Linked DNA regions of Drosophila melanogaster. The protein of the gene in region 2 interacts with the protein of the main gene of each other region in a pairwise test. Each region holds a gene or a part of one and is shown on either strand. Other genes may lie near its edges. The genes, in order: CG13482, CG13312, zld and Dora.

Region 1 (3,895 bases), 5.5 Mb from region 2:
ACAATTTGGGGTATGTACATTAGCTAAACACTCCATATTCTATTTAATATTTAACATTGAAGGAATTTGTTTAAAGTTGTTGAGAAAAAAGCTTTTGAAACATTTTAAAATTACTAAATAACTTAAATCTTAATTTTTTTAAGTTTATTCTTCAGCTATGGTATTTTCCTACCACTTAATCATTTTCCTTATTTTTCCAGCTCTTCAGTTTTAACTAAGTTATTTAAATCACACTATCATTTTAATCATTAGATCACTTAAATCTTAATTTTTATAAGTTTATTCTTCAGCTTCTAAATTATGTGTAGGGTATTTTCCTACCACCAAATCATTTTCCTTATTTTTCCTGTTTTTTTAGTTTTTACCTTTGGGGCGTTTCGGCGTCTGTCGCTTGACTTAATGGCAACATGTTTTACAACATTATTAGACAGGCCAAAATGGAAGCGGTTTTTTCGGATTTCTGGTCGACAACTGGCAAATTTTAATTACCAATATTTTCCAGGTGTCGATACCCATACGACCTACGCCGGGGGCAGCATTTTATATTTTATGACAGGCCACATAACCCACAGACAAATATATACGGGTATTGAGAGACCCACTCTATATGGTAGCTGCTGTCTAATTAGCGTTTTGTGACAACCGCAGAAAAATAAAAGCGTTTCGAAATGGGTTTGTAATTGGCAAACATTTTGTTTGACCCACCCGAAGCGAATCTAAGCCGTACTAAAATTATATTTAATTTCATTTGTATTTATCGGCTTACAAACTTGTTTTCGTGGGTGGTCTTGTTTTGTGTTTGTGGTTGCCAATAATCTTCTTATTGGATTAGAATTTCTTGAATTATTAAGTTTTAAAATTATTCTTGATTCCTTTGGCTTTAAAATCAGCTTTATATGTATAGAGAATCGTTCAATTACGTTTTGGTGAAATCTTTGCGTCATGTCAATCAAGATAAGATTAGTTGTTATTTTATACTTTATCGTATGGACATTTGTTAACTAAGTGCGCAGTACACGTATTTTTGGAATGCAGAAATCCATTACGAGTACATACATATATAAAAAATTCTACATGAATTATCATCGTACTTCTTAATTTATTTATTTTTACTTTCCCCAAGGAAACTAGCATTCAAAAATGTCTTTGTATAAGTCTAAGTGGTTTTAATGATTTTTTTGGTTTTGTTTTTTGTACACTTTATGTAATAAATTAAATTCGCTTATAAACACTTTCATTATTTCGCCACCTGATGGCTGTGGTTTTTAAGACCTTCCTTCCATTCCATTGTACTAGCAGTGATGATGATGATGTCCATGGTGAGGACCATGATGATGGTCAAAGTGGCTGCCGTGGTGATGATGATGATGATCGTAGTGGGGCGGCGGTGGCGGAGGTCCGTAGTGGTGGTGGTGGTGCGGCGGGGGTCCGTGGTGGTGCATTGGAGGTCCGTGGTGGTGATGGTGGTGCACCGGAGGCGGTGGGTGATAGTGGTGCACCGGAGGCGGTGGATGATGGTGGTGGTGATGATGTCCACCTCCACCCAAATTCAGGCCAAGGTGGATTCCAAACAGGCGATTTTCGTGATGTGGCGGCGACATTTTGAATGTTTTACTTTTTTTAATCCTTATCAAACTGATATATTCCTTTCGAAAACTGCTCTCGTTGCTTGTTGAATGCTAACTGCCTTTCCATCCGCTGATATGACCAGTTTATATACACATCCCACTTGAACAGCTTGACAATTCAGATAGTATTATTGTTGTGCTGCTTTATCTTATCGAAGGGGGTGTGTATTCGACTGACTCACTGGGGATTCACTTCGATTCTATTGCTAATACTCAAAGTGGGCTATAAAGATAGCAATGTTTTTGTGCAATCATGGATCGGGAATTACTCACCGGACTAATTCATAACATTTAAGCGCTTTTATTCTTTTCATTCTTAACGAATGTAATGACAGTAATAGTAATAGCAGATGTAAGAAAAAACAAAAAGTATTTCGCAGACAAAACATCAATTTGATATTGCAAAAAAAAGGATGCTGACAAATAGATATGTAAAAGGTAAAATAAAACTTTAAGACCCCGCCAACAATAATTTCCGCCTTGTTTGCCAGACGTAGTCCTAAACAAAAAATAAGAAAATACAGTACGAAAGAAGAAAAGCGAGGAAAACCAAAAAGGCACTAAAGACACCCAACACAAGCACAGAGAAAGTGCGAGCAGGAAGGCAATAACCAGAAAGCTTTTGCATGAAGATTGGCATGGGTGGAGGTGTTTATATACCCCCTTTCGACCATTTCAATAAAAAAAATTGCACAGAAAGAAACAATCTCTTGATATAATTTCTTCTTATCAACACTTGCATAATATTTTCGTCTTTAGCTTGACAATCTTATCAGTGTATTGAGTATGAGTTATTTACCATGAAGAGGATATCTCTCAAAATAGGTACATGATTTTAGGGATTCCCTGTAAACTAATGTTAACTTTTCATAATGTTGCTAAAATAAAGTAGCTTTTTTAACTGATCTTATTAATAGAATATTTGATATTTACTGTAAGACTAGAGCCTGCGTACTGATGTAATATAATTTTGAGCCGAGTTATTAAAAACCAATGATTTTCTCAGTGCACCACACAACTCCACATGAAGGCGACTTCAGTGCGTGACAATAACTTTTGCCTTTGAGCCGCCTTAATGGCATGGGAAGGATGACTTTTGGGGGTGTTGGAATTAAGGGATGAGGGGCCACGGGCTGCGGACGACTCTGATAAACTGCGTTAGAAGTTATAAAGCGATTAGAGTGTGTCTGGAGTGCGTCTTGGGAGCAAAAGAGTGGGGTAGACAGAGCGGGCTAAGAGAAGGAAACAACTTTATGCTGTATCAATTTAATGCTTATTTAAAGTGCGACCAGAGGTTTTGTCCTCCTGCAGTTCAGGGAGCTAAAACGATATAGGAAATGAGTAAAAAAGAAGCTGGAAAGTAGGGGGAAAGCAAATAGAAGGGGGCAATGCAGGTAATACATAAATTTGATTTTATGGAGTTGCTTTTCAAAGAACTTCTGCAAAAGTTTGGTAATACATTTTATTAGCTTTGTAAAGAAATCTTTTGGTGGTAGATAAGGCAACCTTGGAGGAAAATAAGAAGAAAAGGATATTTGAGAAAGTTTTAGAAAAAAACTTCGAAGTTTATTAATGAAATTGGAACAATAAATTGAATTTATTGGCAACTTATTATAAACTCATAATAAATAGTAATTTACAAGAAACCTCAGGAAGTCTCAGAGATTTGCAATAAATCATAAGCAAATCATAATAAAATAACATGTCCTTCATACAAATTCATAAAATCTAATTTTATTCTGTAAAAAAAAAATACATTAGCACGGCCATAAAGCAGAGAATATCCCCTTAAAAACTCACTTTAGTGCTACCGTACCGAAAGCTTTTCAGACTTGATCATCTGGCTCATTTTCCCCCGCTGGTTTTGTTTACACATCCAATGAAAATTCCACTTTCAGTCTGGCACGTTTGGAAGGTTCCCCATGGGGAAGCGTTAGGCCACCCCATTCATATTAACCCCTTCTGCCGACGGCCACAATTATGGCCTTTAACCCCTTTGTCAACAACTTGAGTTTATTTGAGCTTTATGCGCACATGCTGAGTCTGATTTTTGGCCGAGTCCGAAATGCCTTTAAGCATTGTCCTCCGCTTTTCCCCCCACTACCACCATATATTCGCATCCCACGTTCCTCGTCACATAATAATTTTATGTGCTTTTTGGCTGCTGCATTTTTGCATAGTCAGACCCTGAATTCGATGGACCAAAGGGGGGTCTGGTGTGGAGGGATCCTGTGGAAGATTGCGACAAAAGCAGAAAATGTTCAAAA
Region 2 (4,812 bases):
AAACTTTTAGTACCAACAGTACCTTGACAGTGAGCAGTAGCAGTTCGGAAGTCCAAAAATGACCCAAAGGATTGAAAATGTAGTGAAAGGACTAGTGATGGTAATAACGCTTTTGTGGTATACCAAGAGGAAAAGTGAAGAGCAAAAATATTTTACAGGTGGTTCTGGCTTTTATGGTGGCACAAACGGTGTCCGATTGCAATGTCTGTCAATCAAATCAAGTGGCCTGCATCAACTCCACGTCCTTTTACTTGTGTTTTGGAGGTAATTAATTGCGGAATATAATTTTAAAAGGGTTTTTATTGACTTATAGTGATTTTTCAGATGGAACTCCACATCGTGATCAGCTATACCATTGCTTAGAAGGATTTGACTGCACCAATCTCACGGCGATTTGTGTTCAGAAGAGCAGCCAGCGGCCTCCCAGTTGCGGGGATACCTCTCAATGTGGCCAATGTAGTGCCAATCGGAATTATCTATTCGCGTGCCAGAGTCGTGGTATCTTTCAGATGTGCTATGGAGCCACTAGACCCACTGGGCAATTTGGTTACTGCCCCACGGGTACGGTTTGTGATGCCAGCAGCACTGCGATTTGTGTGCCTGAGGTCGCGGGTCAAACGCTGACCTGTGACATAAATGACGAACTGGTGGACACCACCACTGCAGCGTCCGTGACCACCGAAACTACTGGCGGTACCACTGAAAGTAGCACTGAGAGCACAACTGAAAGCAGCACCGATTCAACTGTAACCACCGAGACGCCCACTACAGTGACGCCTCTAACTCCTGCCCAGATGTGTGCCCAAAGGAATGCCACTGGTCTTTTTCCCGTCATTCCTGCGGATCCCTATTGCCAGCGGTGCGTACAGAATTTTGCGTAAAATTTTCCACATCACTCATTTAATTTAACCACTTATCTTTACAGCTACATTAGTTGTTACTTTCAAAAGAACGTTCTTATCAAATCTGCCGAATATAACTGTCCCACAGATTCCTGGTTTGTTGCTCAAACTCAGAGTTGCGTCTACGTAAATCCCGGCTACTGTCTTTAATGTTCAGCTCATTATAAATAAACCGTCAAATACTCTTTGCATAGAGATTCCTTTTTTAATCTAAAACCACTCCATTGAGGGTTAAACTGGCCACTGTGGTGGAGCATGTGGATGGTAAGGTGGAGACACATGTTCTGCTGGCACTGTTGTAGTAGAGGCTACCGGGACATGTGTACATATTGCCACCCCAAGTGCCTCCGTTCAGAAAACAGTCGATGTACTGATGACACGTGGTGCTGGCATCCGTACCCACCGGGTAGTAGCCCGCCGACTGCATCGCCTGGCAATATGCCTCCGGATTACTGGTCGTGGGTGCCGCAGTCGTCGTGGAACTCGTTGTTGCAGTTGTGGAACAGGTGGATGGCATGGTGGACACACACATCTCGGAGGCACTATCGAAGTACATGGATCCCGGACAAGTGTAGGTCTGGCCAATCCAACTTCCGTCAACCAAAGTGCAGTAGATATACTGGCGACAGGTCGTATACGCGTTATATCCGACCGCGTATTTTCCCTGCGACTGAACCGCCGCACAGTAAGTGGATGCCGAGCTGGTGGAAGGTGGTGCCGCTGTGGTGGAGCTGGTGGTGCTGCTCACCGTGGTTGTGGTTGAGTCATCGCTATACGAACAGGTCGGCATCACCTGCAGAGTTATGTAGATTTATTATTTATTGTGGGCCAGAGGAAAGGAATATACATATTCTGTCACGGAATGAACAGCGTTTTTCTTTGTCCTATTAGACATACAAGTAAATTTCCTAAAAACACCTTGGTTTCCTCAAAATCAATTATAATAATTCAAGCTTTAACGAAACACTTCAAATTGCATACAAAGAGCTTATTTTCTCCAGTCACTTGGTATCACATTCTAATGAATAGTGCTTCTTGAAAGTTTAATTTCCTTTCAGAGTCGTCTCAGCATCCTGGAGCACCTGTTCTTTCTCAAACATCCCATTTCCACCAAGAAGAAGAAAGGCGAACTTACCCCATCCGCTGGCAGACCGCATATCTGGGTGTCGTTGATGTTGCACACATAACCGGAGGCACAGGTGCCCACCGAATCCTGGACGGTATCTGTGCCCAGGCAGAGGGCGAAGCTCTGGGTTCCGGTGCAGGCGAACGTCTGGGTCTCATCGCACTTGTTGCACTCCTGGCAGTCCGCCTGACTGTCAGATGCCGAGTCCTCCGGCTGGCAGAGCACACCGCTGGAGCCGCTGACGCAGACATAGCCGCTGGGGCAATCGGTGGGCGTGGCCGTGGACAGGACGTCCACCTGGCAGGACTGCATCTGGGTCGAGGAGTAGCAGGTCAGATTGTTGACGGTGTTGCAGACGTTGCAGGTGCCATGAGTCGAGGACACAAGGCAACCGAGCAGGAAAAGCAACAGCGGCAGGCCAAGTGGCAAGCAAACACGGTTAGGCGACATTTCGGGTTGCAATTGTTTTTTCCGACTGATGTCTGTGCCTGGCAGGCATGTGGCTTAAATAGAGCGCTTTTTTGGCAGCTATTTTGGAGCATGCAGATTGCTCTTAATCCACAAAGACCTCGGCAGGCGGGACCTTGGCTACTGCTCCAATTTAGATAAGCTCTTGCTGCTTTGACGGACTGAAAAGGGTAGCATACTTTTTGGTGTTGGCGAATTTTTATTGGGTTATTTTTGTTGTATGTTTACATAGTAATATAATAGCGATATATAAAACTGAATATGTATGAAACCTGTTAGGCGACAAGGATAAATAGATATCACTAGCTTTTTTACTACTCAAATAGCCTTATCTTAAATAGCTTTCTGGATAAGAAAGTTGCCTATATAGTTTGTAAAGTTTGAATATACATGCAGTTACTCTTGAAAATGCAACGGCACCTGCTCTTTTCAGTATTTTTGTTGGCCACTCTAGTGAAATTTAGCCAGGCCGAGTGCAATATCTGTTCCTCTGAGAGCAATGTAGCCTGCGTGTCCAAGAATCAGTACCAAAACTGCTCGGCAAACGCTATTCCTACAGGTACCGTGTATACATGTCCAAATAATACATTTTGTACGGGATTGCCAGAGAAATGCACTTCCAACGAGGCTTTTGCATCCTGCAATGATTGCAGAAAGTGTGACGGAATTATACCATTCGCCTGTACTAGTCCAACAACTTTTGCACTTTGCAATGCTGTGAATGAAATTGCAAGCAATGAATATCCCTGTTCGACAGGAGAGGTGTGTCTATACCAAATTGGCAATCCTTGTGTGGCCTCACCAAACGGCACAAGTGCCTCGTGTTCCCAGTATGCTTTAATCGATGATTTGTGTATCCAAAAGAGCTCCACGGGTCGCTTTCCTTATCCCAATGATTTAAGCTGCCTAAAGTGAGTTGTTTATATTGTATATTAATATGAGTGCATCTTCATTTTTAATCAATCTTGTTTTTAGATATATTTACTGTTTTCGCAAGAGTTCCACCTGGTCCGGAAATTCCTGGCAGTGTCCTTCAAGTAAACCATACTTCAGTGCCAGCACTTCTACTTGTGTAGCGACTAAACCGGCAACATGTGCCTAGTTCATTGTTATAAAAGAAATCTTGTAATATAAATATATTTACATACTGCATAATTTGAATAGAGTATAAGAACCGCTTTATATCATTGGACACATTGACTTTATTAGTTCGTCAACAATCTGGTAATAACTCTTTGTTGGAAGTTCTAGTTTCTCCGAGTGATAAGATTACTGCGAGCGCATAAAGCCAACTGGTTGACACCAATATCGCTAGTTTATTGTAAAGATGCTGCGCTGCTTGATCTTGCTGGCAATCGGAGTTTTCCTGGTGATCCGTATTCTCGGTATCCGTGGGGATTGCAATGTGTGTGCCTCCGTTAGCAATGTGGCCTGTATATCGAACACCTCATTTCAATTCTGCTCCAGCAGCGCATTACCTGCTGGTCCCGTTTACACGTGTCCCACGGGTTATTATTGCACCGCAAATGACGTAACGTGCAATACAGACGTGGCCCAAAGATCCTGTATAGGTTGTGGCACCTGCGATAGTGGCAATACATTTGCCTGCCTCACTGCAAGGACATTTGCCCTGTGCCTGGGAACATCGACTCCTTCCCAGATCGTCGGAAGTTGTGGCTCGAGCTATGTATGTGATTTTAATAATCCGTATATTTGTGGTAGTCCAGCGGCAGGATCACAGGCCACTTGTCCGGGTGACGGTAGTGGTACTGGACTGGATGTTACGTCAACGACACCCACCACCTATTGTTCCATCGTCCAGCAGCACGGAAGATTTCCCTACGGCATTGATCTCAACACAACCTGCAGACAGTAAATATTAGGAGTTCAATTATCTCGTATATAAAAAATTAAACCGCTTATTTCATAATAAGGTACATATATTGTTATCTCAATGCAACTAACTGGGCAGGAGGCCTCTACTATTGTCCTGGACAAACTTACTTCAATAGCTCATCGGGGTATTGTGGCACCGAAGTGCCAGCCAGGTGCACTAATGGAATTACCAGCTTGACACTTACCATCACATAAAAATTCATAAAAAAAAACAATCATATAGTCTAAAGATTTTGGGAGCGTTGATAACAATTGCTTTTAAAAATAAATAAATAATTTTTTATAGTCGCAACACACAACTAAAGCGTTTACAAAACAAACATAAATATAGATACTGCCCTTACACAAGATTAGATTGCAACTCAACAATTCCGTTTGCTCAAACGCTGTCAACTCCGTGTAATTCAAAAATGCTGCGGT
Region 3 (5,855 bases), on a different chromosome or scaffold from region 2:
GGCTCCTGTCCTGGCTGTGACTGTGATTGGGATGCGTGTGTGTGTGGGTGTGAGTGTGGTTGCTGTCCTCCATTTGCTCGCTCTTTATAGCTACCGTGGTGGCCGCCGTTGTTGTTGTTGTTGCTGTTGTTGTGATTTGTGGTGCTCGGGTTGTTGTTGTTGGTGGCGGCGTGGTTGTTGTTTCGTTCAGCAGGCCCCTCATTTGGGAGGACGGCATTTGGGTGGTGTTGTTGTTGTGTGGGGCGGAGGGACCTGCTAGCCCGTTTGGGTGACCGTTCAAAACGGAGTTGTGGTGCTGCGGCATCTGCTGCTGATGGTGCTGCTGCTGTTGTTGCTGCTGCTGCTGGTTGTTGCTGTTGTTGTTGGAAGCGTGCTGTGGTGAAGCGTTTGTCGTGGATTGCACTTGTTGCTGCATGTAGCCATAGCCGTTGGCGGTGCCATTAGCATAGCCGTTGGCCTGCTGCTGATGGTGGTTGAGGTGGTGCTGCTGCTGCTGTGTGGGCGAGGGTGAGGCCGAGTACTGGGACATGGCAGCGCCGCCCATCGCTCCCACGCCCAAGCCGCCTCCTCCGCCATAATCGGGCGGACTTCTAGGCGGCTCCGGGGGTGGCACATTGGCCGGCGGCGGCGGTATCGGCGGCTGTTGCTGCTGACCCTGACCGCTGGCCGAGGCGGCAGCTGCAGCGGCGGCCGCAGCGGCTGCGGCATTGCCCCTGCGACTGGGCTTCGTCACCGGGTCGCGGGCGGGATGGTGGTGCGCCGAGATGGGCAGGGTGGCTGGATCCGGCTGGCCGCTCGACTTAACCGCATTCTTGTGCAGCGTCGTATTGTAGTGGCGCTTAAGATGGCCCGAGCTGGTGAACCACTTGTTGCAGGCCGTGCAGTTGTACGTTTTCGGACGGCGCGCCTCGTTCGACTTCCAGGTGGCCGCCTTGGCCGTCAGGCTGTTGGCCGGCAGCACGGAGCTCGAGCTGGGTGGCTCGAAACCGCGGTATCCACCTCCTGGCGCCGCACCCGCCGCTCCCTCCTGCCCTGGTCCGCCCGTAGTGGTGCTGGGGAACTCCGCCGGACTGGTGGCCACGCTGGCGCACAGTTCCGCGCCACCAGCTCCGCCAGCTGTGGGATCGAAGGACTTGTCCACGTAATGCTGCGAATCGGGATACTCGGACTTGATCAGTCCGTGGCCGCCGTACTCCTGCTTGATCAGCGTGGCTCCGCCAACGCCGGTTGACTGATGATAGGGTGACTGCTTTGGTGAGTAGTAGGGCGACTTGTCCACACCGACTCCCAGCCCCACGCCCAATCCCTGCTGCATGTAGGGTGGCAGGCCCTCCACGGAGGCCACCGTCTGCTGTGGCTGCTGCTCCCAGCTGTGGAGTGCGCGCTGCTGCATAGATTGCATCGAGTGCAGCGGATCCGGCAGAGCGCCCAGCGGCAGTCCAGCGACCACGTCGTGTTGCTGTTGTTGCTGCTGGAGCAGCTGCTGGTGATAGACCATCTTCTGGGAATCTAGGTCGAGTAATTCGCCGGGATTGGCCGTTGCGGATCCAACGCCGGGTGGCTGTGGTGTGGGCATCTCCTCCTTGATGTACGGTGAACTGGCGTAACCGCTGCTGCCGTACGGCGACTCTCCGTGCACGTTGGCGATGTGCTCCTGTAGCTCCGACTCGTTGGTGGTGAGGATGCCGCACTTCTTGCACTGCAACTTGCATCCGGCACTTCCGGCGGCTCCGCCTGGTGAGCCTGGTGTCTGGCCACTGGAGCTGCCCAGCTGCAGGTGCGAGGACGTCGACGTTGGACTGCTGCTGCTAACCACACGCGGACTCATGGCCACCGCTGTGGTGGTGCTGACCGCGCTGGGCGCACTGCCCGCCTCCTCCTGTGCCGAGCTGGCCGTTGGAATGCCTCCCAGTCCGGAGGTTGGCGTCTGCAGGTAGGGATGATAGCGAACACCGGCGCTCTTGCCATAGTCAACGCCCACGGTGCCAAAGGCGTAATCAGTGCCCTGCTGCTGCTGCTGTTGCTGCTGGTAGAACTGCTCGTAGCTGTTGATGTAGCTGCTGGCGTAACCCTGCTGCTGCTGCATGTCCCCGCCGTAGAGTCCGCCGTAGATCTGCTGCTGTTGTTGCTGCTGTCCGCCAGATGCGGAGTACATGTGGTGGGTGGCGTACGGCTGGTGGGTGATACCCGTTACCTGCTGCTGCTGTTGCTGCTGCTGGGGATCTCCTCCACCCATGGCCTGCTGCTGCTGCTGTTGCGATTGTGGCTGCTGCAACTGTTGCTGCGTCGATTGCTGCTGTTGCGTGGGCTGCGGCGTGCCGGGTTGATTATCACTGGAGTCGGCGGCGGCGCTAATTGTGGCATTGGGTGTGGCGGGCGCACTGCCTACGCCTCCCGTTCCTCCCGCTCCTGGTCCGCCCGATCCTCCTCCACCTCCTCCTCCTCCTCCTCCTGCTCCTCCCCCACCACTGTCTGTAGCACTGCTGGAGGCGAGCGCCTCTGCCGCGTGCAGGGGCGGCATCTCGGTCTTAATGCTCGTCATGGACCGCTACATAAGTCGATGCTTGGTGGCTGCTCGGTGTTTCGCTTCTCATGTCTCGAGCTCTCCGGGATCAGTGGTGCATCCTCTGCTCCTGCTGCTACGCTGCTTGCTTTTCGTTGGCTCTGCTGAGCCGATCGTTTTTGTTTTGGGTTTTTATGTTATATGCTCTCGTTTCGTTTTATTTTTTTGTGATTTTTTGTTTTTTTGTGCTTTGTATTTGTACTGAAAATAAGCCAATTATTGTTTAAGCCATTATTAGTTTGAAGTTACTTGAGTTGCAAACGGAAAAAAAACAAACACATGCACACTGTGTTTTCAAAGCTTTTGGTGTCTAACGGTTCTTGGTGTCCATTTCACTTCGATGCGAAATTGCAGGCACTTTTGTAATTTGATTTGTATGGTGGAAATACAATAGCTTTTACTTGCGAACGTAATGTCAACTGCAATTGTTTGTGGAGAGCACACATGGACGCTCACGACGCACACTAACACACACACTCGAAAAAAATATATACATGAAGGATCCTCGATGAAGATCCCTTTTCCGTTCTCTTTTGCTTTTCTTACTTATCTGCGCCTCGCTTTGGGCACTTCTTCGTTGGACTTGGACTTCTGCTTCGCTCCTTCTTCTTCTGCTCCGCTCCTCCTCCTTCTTCTCTTTCACCGCTCCTCTTCGGCGAAACGAAAGACACACAACAGCAGACTCGATAAATAATACGAAACTGAACTGAACTGAACTGAAGAAACCAATATCGGAACCGCAACGAATGCTGGTCAATTTTGAATTTCGAATTTTGTTTTTGCGAATTGCGAGGGAAGCGAGAATGGCGATGCGATGTGATCACACTCTCCCTATCTCTCTCTCTCTCTCTTTCTTGCTCTCTCTCGCCACTTTTTTTTTTACCGGTGATTTAGAGTTTTTCGGTTTGGGTTCGCTTTTCGCTTCGCCCTTTTCCAAAAGATCACTGGAATTCGCGTTTATCGTTTATCGGGGATCGGATCGAACAGAAAAAAATTGTTTACGAACACAAGTATTGCATCGGAATTAAATTTGTTGTTGATTCCCGAGCCGCGATTAGTTCGTTTAGTTTGTTTTTCAATTGGTTTGCCGAAAAGTTGTTGCCAAAAATGTTGCGTTTTGTGAGTGGGGAAAATGAAACAAAAAAGGGCGCTAAAAGTAGCCGCTCCACTCCGTTCGCACGCTTCGTCGCTTTTTCACCCGTGTCCTTCTGTCTGCTACGGCGTTCCAAATACAAATGACCGACAAATACACCGCCGTGCATGCGGCACATTCGTTCTACCCGTTCTGCCGGCAGCGACGCCGGCTGCGACTGTGGCTGCGGCGTCGCAGTCGACGCACATGCGTGGCTGTGTGTGTGTGTGCGCTATATACACTGCGCGGCGGCGTTTCGGTTATGTGCGTGCTGTCTCTGTCGCGCACGGCTGCCGTCAACGCCGCTGCATTTGATTTTGCTTTGCTTTTGGTTTTGCCTTTGCTTTGCGCTGCCTTTACTTTGCAATACCCTTTGCATTGAGAGTACCACAAGTTAGCTCGGAATCAAGATAAAGTATCCCATGCATAATTAGCATTAGTTGAGACCTAAGTTTTGCAATCTGTTTAGATCGAACTAATAAATCCTCTCGAAGACATGTACATAAACGATTAGTCGCAATTTGAATGCTTATATTTTTATGCCTTGAATGGCATTATTAGTGAAAACTGATGTTTAATATACATATATACATATGTTTTATAATGCACACATATATACATACGTTTTATAATGCACACAAATTTGAATCCTTTTTTGCAAGCCATCACAATTTTCCACAGAAAATTGCTGAACGGTTATAAAAAAGTAATTTAAGTAAGGTCATTGATAACCGGTTTTGCACTTAACAATCCGTAGAATTTGGATGGATCGCAATTGTAAAGTGTATTTGTAATAATACACAACTTCTGCATTGCCTTTCTAGCAGCAAATCAATAGCTTTGATCGTGTTAAAATGATTTTCCACTGTTTATTTATGAAATTATTTCGCTGTATTTGCGTTTCTGGATATATACAGCGAACTGCATATATTTAAGCCGCCCTAGGCACTAAAAATTTTATATGAAATTGTTTTCTTTAGGATGGTTGGATTTCGAAATGTTTATTCCGATCTCTAGCTTAAAACTCTGGCAGTTCGTAGAAGTCATCTACGCTATGAAGAACTTACCATATAAATAAATGTTTATGTACTCTATTGTAATAGCAAAATTTAGCTTAAGTGGCGATAATGTGGATTTTTCAAGAACACAGCGAAGATTGGTTGGCCCTTTTGTGTGATCCACCGATTACCATATCGCAACTCGCCTAATTTAAAGCTGTGTTGCAGTTCTAGGCTTGGTTGCTCAGTTGTGCCCGTTTTTTTTTTTTTAGCCTTGGTACGAACGGCGGCTTATTAATAGACTCCTCGAAGCGTCTTAGTCAGATGTTGACTCACTGGACCGGGCCAAAACCAATTCGCACTACTAGCCTAGTTTCTGAGCGACCGGCAACCGACGATTATCGACGTCACGGGCCTCGTAAAAGTTGAGAACGTTCAAAAAATTAATAAACCAAACTTTTATTGCGTTGGGCATACGGGAGTGCAGAGCTGAGAGACAACGAAAGCTAATCTACATTTAAAAAGAAAGGAAAAAATCGTAAGCTAGGACTAACGGATACCCTGTTATCAGATTCTGTCATAAGATCATAAGCTCACTAGAGAAACTTTTTTAAATAGAAGACTAGAAGAAGACTAAGCATGTAAGTAAGTATGCATAAGTATGTATGTACATATATATTCCAAAGATGCAGGCGATCTTTCGTCTTTCGAATGGGTATGCTTTTTCCAATCTACGATTAAGGGGTATAAATAGCGACAGAAAGGGTTTGAATCTGTTGGTAACTATGGGGTTTCAAGTTGTTTTAGGTTTTATTTTTTTTTTTTTTTTTTGCTGGGCAACTGGAGCTGGGAATCAAGCTCAGCTGAGAATGGCCCAAAAGTATTTAAAAATTTCGTAAGAGAAAAGGCGAGGGCTAATGGAGCCCAGATACGAGTACCTCCATCGCAGCCACACAGATACGAACTCCACTGTGCGGCTGTGTGCGTGGGGCCTTGAGGAAGAGTTTAGATTGGAGTAGGGCCGGAGGAGGGAGCGAGAGAAGGCGAGAGTGAGGCGGCGGAGAAGAGTGCGACAGAGAGGCCTGAAATTTACATACATGATTGTCATAAAAAATCAGCAAGCAAATTGTCAAATCCCTAAACTGACAATAAAACAATAAAG
Region 4 (6,184 bases), on a different chromosome or scaffold from region 2:
TGTTTTGGTAAGTCACATTTTGGAAAACTTGTTAATTCAGTTCTTTGAAAATATATTAAAATTGAATATTTTCAATATTTCAATTTTACTTTTAAACTATTACTCTACTCTCATTTTTTTCTCGTTAACTTAAGTGAATTAATAGGGAACGTCAAAGTGTAAGCAAAAGCAAACAATCTTCTTACTTTTCTTCAAAACATGTGCAGTGCGTTTCGCAGCTGTAAGGCCAAGACATTGGCACTTACAGTCACGGAACGCACTGCATTTGTGCTAGTACATACATATATATAGAAGTCGTTTATCCAGCTAATACTTGTTGCAAAACGTTTGTTAAACTATATATAATATACATATATATATATAACGATCGAGTCAAGCAATAAAATCAAAATTTTCTTCACAAAACAATAAATAGTCTTTGGCGTTATCAATTCCGCGTACTGTTAATTCATTCTAAGCGAATGTATAACGATAAACAAAAGCAAAGGATGTGAGGATTTGAATCAAAGGCATAGTAAAGTATTTTGGATGGAATTGATTATCAATCAAGGGCTAACTTTAAAAAAAAAATATCTTTGACAAATTATTGGGCCAAGTCCGTCTTTGTATAGTGAAAACAAGTAACATAGTTTCCGACATACAAGCTATGCTTGATTTTTGAATCGGATTGGGTCACTACTTGTCCTCCGGCGAGGCGGAGGTGGCCATTTTGGCGAAAGACCGCGGCGGAGTGGGGCTGCGTTTCTGCAGGGTACGCATGCCGAGCGAGTAAGCCGCCGTGTCCCCCGAAGCGGTGTCCGTATCCGAGTACTCGTCATCGCTCTCGCTGGCATGTCCTGCATCCGTCTCGTACGGATCCACCTCCTTCTGATACACGTTGCTCATTTGATCCGTAAACACATCCGAAGCGACGACCCCGCCGTCGTGTTGATCCTCGTTCTCATAAAAGAAGTACGACAACTGCAGGTGCTCCTCCGCACAGTTCGTGCTCAAGGCGTCCGGAATCAAGTGGCCATTCGTCTCGAGGCGCTTCTGAATCTTTAGGAACATGTTCGGTGATACATCCATTTGGGGCAGCGTCTGCTGCGCCTGCCACTTCTCCAGCAGCGGCGGATTGGCTCCAAAAACGCCGTAGTACAGCTTGCAGGCGCGAAAGCAGCGTAGTCGGTTCGAATTTGGGCGAATGCGACGCAGCACACGCAGCTGTGACTCCACCACGTGCAAAAACATGTATTGCTGATTTCGGTTGGGCAGCGAGGTGACCAGCACCGCACGACTGGTGTTCAAACAGAGCTGAGGCAACGGTTGAGGCCACAGCGAGTGCAGCAGACGCTTGAAAAGCTGCGTTAGCGTGGAGTTTTGGAAGAAGTGGCGATCGGGGGCATTTGTCGCCGCTCCTGCGGGACGCCAACGTACTGCATCAGCCCAGATGCGAGCGGCGGCGCCATCGAACATGGTCAGCCCCAAATAACGCATGCAGCGCTGGCAGTACAAGTGATCGTCGCGATTGAGCATGCACGAACTTTCTTCGTTAAAGTTGATGACCACATAGTTGAGGCCATAGAAAAGATCCGTTTCGGCGGGCACTAAGCTAATTGGTTGGGTCTTGCCCGCTGGTCCATGATTGTGGCAAAAGAACTCAGTGGGATCCACCAAGAGGCTGGGAAACTCCCTCAACCTGCGATAGCTTCGGCCTGCCACCAATTCCGCTCGGCAATCACGACAGTTGATAGTGATGGGCTCGTTCTCCTGGCAGGAGAGGAGTAGTGGCGCCAGAGGCACGTCCACAGCGCTTCCATCCACGCTGGCCAGATCAATCTGGTTGTAGTTGAAGCGGAAACTGATGTTCCTGCCACTGACCAAGAACGTGGACAGGCAGACAATGTCCATACCATACTGCGCGTGCCGGATGAGCATCAGCTTGTCGGAGTCCTCGCTGTCGCTTTCGGAGCTGGAATCCAAGTCGATTGCCTGATTCTTAGGTTTCTCGCTGATATAAACATTGTAGTCGCGGACGACGACGCGAGTCTTCTGGCTCTGCGAAACCTGTTGGTCGAATCGCAGGAAGACCACGCCGCTGCGTAGGTTCGGGCGCAGTTCGATGCACAGCCCGGCGATGGGCATCTTGACCAGTTCCTGGGAAAGCGCGAGAAGATTGTGAACACCACCAACAAAATGGGCCTATCGTTACTTATGGTTTTTCGATATTAAGAGCGTCACTCGACAAAAACTATCGATTGTCAAGAATGAATGTCAGTGTGACCGTCATTTGAAAACTGGGAAATCGTACGCGGAAAACCGATACTATTGACCTTATCGAATATTCAGCCGAAAATGATCGAAAACCCATATCGAGTGTGTGAGCACTATCGCTGACCACTAACACCAACAACGTTTAGGAGCAAAAGAGTCGACGATGCGATGGGTAAAAACAAAGCCCCGTGTAAAAGTGTCCGAAAACCGTGCGTAGCATCAAACAAATCGTAACTCGGCCAGCGAATCTAGGTGCCGTTGTTTTCGGGGACGCGTGTGCAGTGCCGTTTTAAGTGTCGGTAATCGCCAAAATCCACAAAAAATTTAAGGATTTTTTAAAAAAACGTTCGCTAAACGCATTTCGTTCGTTCACTCACACACACACGTAAACCTAACACACGCACAGACGCAGACAAACACAACGCGCAGCGCATATACACACACAAAGAAAAGAAGGCAGTGAAAATCGACAAGCGCACGCATGCACACACACACTGACAAGCACGCAGGCGAAAAAGTGTTGATATATATCCAATATATTGATGTTGTGTGCAACGTTGTTGTTGCTGCTGCTACTGCTGTGTGAGTGAGTGAGGGCGAGCGAGAAAGAGTGAGTGCGGTGCGCGCAGGATAAAGCGAAGATGAGCCACAAAGCGAAGGAGTGAAAAAATAATTAACGGCAAAGCGGACTGCAAAGCGCAGAGCGGATAAAAGAGGAGCGTTAACAACAATAACAACGACTGGGGGTCCCCTGCAAAATCAACAACAACAGCAAGAACCACATCAACAATAATAACAGAAGCAAGAACATCAACAACAAGAACTACAACTACAAATTGGCCCTCTTATTTCGGCAGTCGCATAGCATAGCCCCATCTCGCTCTCTCGTTCGTTGGGGGATACGAAAAAGTTCACATGCAACAACAACGACAACAAACAATAGCAGTCGCAGTCGACGCGGGCAGAGGCAGCGACAGAGACCGCGGCGCACTGAACGTATTTTGTACATATAAACAAAAATAGTTTTTAAACTCCCCAAAATCTAAATCTAAACCTAAAGTTAAGTCTAAAAGGGAAACTTAGAGCCCTAAGCATAAATCTACAGTTAATAAGTTAATTAAAAGCAAGCGAGTCCGGCAGTGTGCTTGAGTTTGAAAGGGGAGAACCGAAGGAGAGGAACACAGCGAGAGAGAAAAGAGGAAGAGAAGAACGCTCAAGAGAAATTCGCCTTTTACACGATTTTAAATTGAGCGTTTGGCAGAGATCCATTATACATATACATCCATCCAAAAAGAGAGGAGAGTAACAGTGAGAGAGACGGAGGAAGAGGAAGCTGAGGAAAACAAACAAACGGGGGAGCAGCTGAAGAAGAAGAACAAGAATCAGCTTCAGCAGTAGAAGGAGCAACTGTAAACACACACAATCTCAGCCTCACGCTGGCGAATCGCAACGGCGGCAACAACAACAGAGGAGGAGGAGGCGGCGGTAACAACAACAACAATGGAGGAGGCGGAGGAGCGGCTGCAGTCGGCGCTGGCGCCGAAGGAGCAGCAGGAGGCGGCGCAGGAGCCGGAGCGGCGGGCAGAGACGCTGCAGGAGCAGCGGCCAACGAATGGAATCCGGAGGAAATGGACCGCTTCAGCTTCGACGACTCCATCCGCTTCGAGGAAGACTCCCTCTGCAGCTGGAGCTCTGAACCGGAATCGCTGTGCAACAACTGGCGCGGCTGGAAGAAGCCCGCTGCAGGCAGCGGCGCAGGCAATGGCGGCTTGAGCGGCATGGGCGGTATGGCTGTGGCCGGCGGCTCAGGAGCACCGCCGTTCGGAGGAGCAGGAGCCTCTGGTTCCTGCACACCGGGCGGCAATGGAACGGCCATGGCCAACACATCCACCTGCGGCAGACATTATGGTGAGTAGCATCTCCTTGTTGCTAGGGCGGGATTTAGGGCAGTGTACCCGGACCATTGAGCATTACACCAGTGAAACTACAGTTGTGAAAATCACAGATACAAATCTAAACTGAAGAGAGCTTCTTAAAATCCGAAAAACATTGTACAACATTGACAGTTTTTAGAGTTCGAAAAGTGTGCGTCCTAAAGATATCAAAAAAGTATCCTCTTTTATTCAGGAATTAAGAAAGACTTTCTCATAAGAAGCTTTCATATGTCGCATACAAAAGATATTGACTTCCTTAATTGTTTTTAAAACCATAAGGCAACCAAAATAGTTTATACCTATAACTTTCCCTTTACAATGAGAAACTTACATGTACATTTTATACAGATTTATATCCGTATAGCGTTAAATAATCAATTACTTGCTACACAATTTACTTTTTAAGCTAAGTAGAGTGATATGCTTTAGTTCTATGTTTTACTAGCTTGGTCGCATTTGGCTATTTGCAATATGGCTACACTGTGCTGCCTGTAATTATACGCATGACCTTTTCGCTTTTGGTAAATTCTGTAAAATTGACTTAGGCACAACAACGAGCAGGCTGTAATTGTTGTTGCCCTCTGTCTGCAATTGTCTTCTTCGTTTCCCCGCATTTCCTCGAAGTCCTCTGCTTATCGCTGAAGTCAAAATCACGACTTTGGCTGCCAACGTTTTTTATTTTCATTCGTTTATACGAGTTTCCTTTTTACCTTTTTGTTGCGTCCCTTTGTCTTTCCCTGTGGCTCATTACGCTTGTGCATGTGGCTGGGGTATTGTTTTTTTTTTTTGTTTCGGGCCTGCCAAGAGACGTTCCTTACACGTTTTCTGTATCCTGTGCGCCGCCGCACAGCACTATCATCATGTAATATCTGGATATCTGGCTGCGACTGCGCAGTTCGTCCTCGTCGCTGTTTCTCTTTCGTATCCTCCATTCGTCTTCGTCATTTGCCCATCCACTGCATTCGTTTGCTTATTTTCCTTTGTTTGACTGAGCAGTGTTGCTGTGGGGGGAAACAGGACTATATTTGGAAGGGTCAAAGGACTAAACAGAGCGGCAAAGCCGCCAAAGAACCTCCAACCATTCAGTTGTCTTCTTTGTGGATTCTTTGATAGCCAGGGTTACCAGCTTGTTGATTTTATTGATATTTATTGATACTAAGCACTAGTATTACAAAATATAGTATATGTACTAGGCAAAACTAGCTGAACTTTGCTCAATCTTAATCATTTTTATCTTTCTGTTATGTTATACAAATCTTTTACTTCCTATAAACAGAGGAGTTAGCCAAATATCTATTTGTTCATATGCTGTTGGTTTGTAAACCTAAAGGACCAATAGATAGTAGCTTAAGCTATTCGATTTTGGCGGGAAAATAGCCAAAGAGCTAGCCCTGCGACTGGGTTTGTGTGTGTGTAGTGGCGAAGCCAGCTGCATTTTCATGCTCGAAAGACATAATAACCGCATCAAAAAACTATATTGCCTCAAAACGATGTCGCTGCTGCCAGCTGAACACGCTGACGTCGACTTCGACGTCGATGCTGAGGCGACGAGAGCCTCGCTTTGTTGTGTCAAAGAACCTTTTCAAGGATACCACCACAACCTGCCCAAGGGGATGTAATAAAAATAAAGACGAGGACGACGACGACGACGACACGGAGGAGAGTCCATTATTCCCATCGCACCTTGTAGCTCCTCCGCCCCGTTTGCTGTGGCTCCCCAGATATGGTAGTTCTTCAGATAGTTGAAACGGAAGAAGCCCATTGATTTGATCCACAATTGTCAACGGCTTCTGATGCGATTGAAGGCTTATGTATATACATCATAAGAATTCTGTGCGTTCGAGCATTTAACATGCCATAATTGAAATGTTTTAAGCCAAGCTATGGTGCGCAACCAGGGGGTTCTATTTATTTTTAACTAGCATCTTACTTACTTAATTTGAAGGCATGATTTACCATTAAACAGAACATTGGAAAACGAACATCAGTTAACGCAA

What was found.
Region 1: the proteins of CG13312 (region 2) and CG13482 interact in a two-hybrid assay, tested with the Drosophila melanogaster proteins (one large-scale study listed by BioGRID).
Region 3: the proteins of CG13312 (region 2) and zld interact in a two-hybrid assay, tested with the Drosophila melanogaster proteins (one large-scale study listed by BioGRID).
Region 4: the proteins of CG13312 (region 2) and Dora interact in a two-hybrid assay, tested with the Drosophila melanogaster proteins (one large-scale study listed by BioGRID).

The regions. Positions count from the first base shown.
Region 1 is NT_037436.4:14,327,143-14,331,037, reverse strand, and holds CG13482 (uncharacterized protein), read right to left. Parts: upstream 1,693-3,895; 5' UTR 1,602-1,692; coding exon 1,293-1,601; 3' UTR 1,153-1,292; downstream 1-1,152.
Region 2 is NT_037436.4:8,804,721-8,809,532, forward strand, and holds CG13312 (uncharacterized protein), read right to left. Parts: upstream 2,494-4,812; 5' UTR 2,479-2,493; coding exon 2,038-2,478; intron 1,696-2,037; coding exon 1,108-1,695; 3' UTR 1,091-1,107; downstream 1-1,090. Other genes in the region: CG34427 (uncharacterized protein), read left to right, coding at 59-100, 159-264, 325-859, 926-1,052; CG32024 (uncharacterized protein), read left to right, coding at 2,905-3,407, 3,472-3,598; CG13308 (uncharacterized protein), read left to right, coding at 3,824-4,368, 4,431-4,587.
Region 3 is NC_004354.4:19,779,745-19,785,599, forward strand, and holds the start of zld (zelda), read right to left. Parts: upstream 3,805-5,855; 5' UTR 3,110-3,804; exon of another isoform or gene 2,765-3,109; 5' UTR 2,543-2,764; coding exon 1-2,542. UniProt on the Drosophila melanogaster protein: Transcription factor required for zygotic genome activation (ZGA), a critical event in early embryonic development during which the developmental control passes from maternally provided mRNAs to the expression of the zygotic genome after fertilization.
Region 4 is NC_004354.4:18,861,559-18,867,742, forward strand, and holds the start of Dora (dorado), read left to right. Parts: upstream 1-2,391; 5' UTR 2,392-3,881; coding exon 3,882-4,161; intron 4,162-6,184. Other genes in the region: CG7326 (uncharacterized protein), read right to left, coding at 676-2,124. UniProt on the Drosophila melanogaster protein: Substrate recognition component of a SCF-like E3 ubiquitin-protein ligase complex that promotes target-directed microRNA degradation (TDMD), a process that mediates degradation of microRNAs (miRNAs).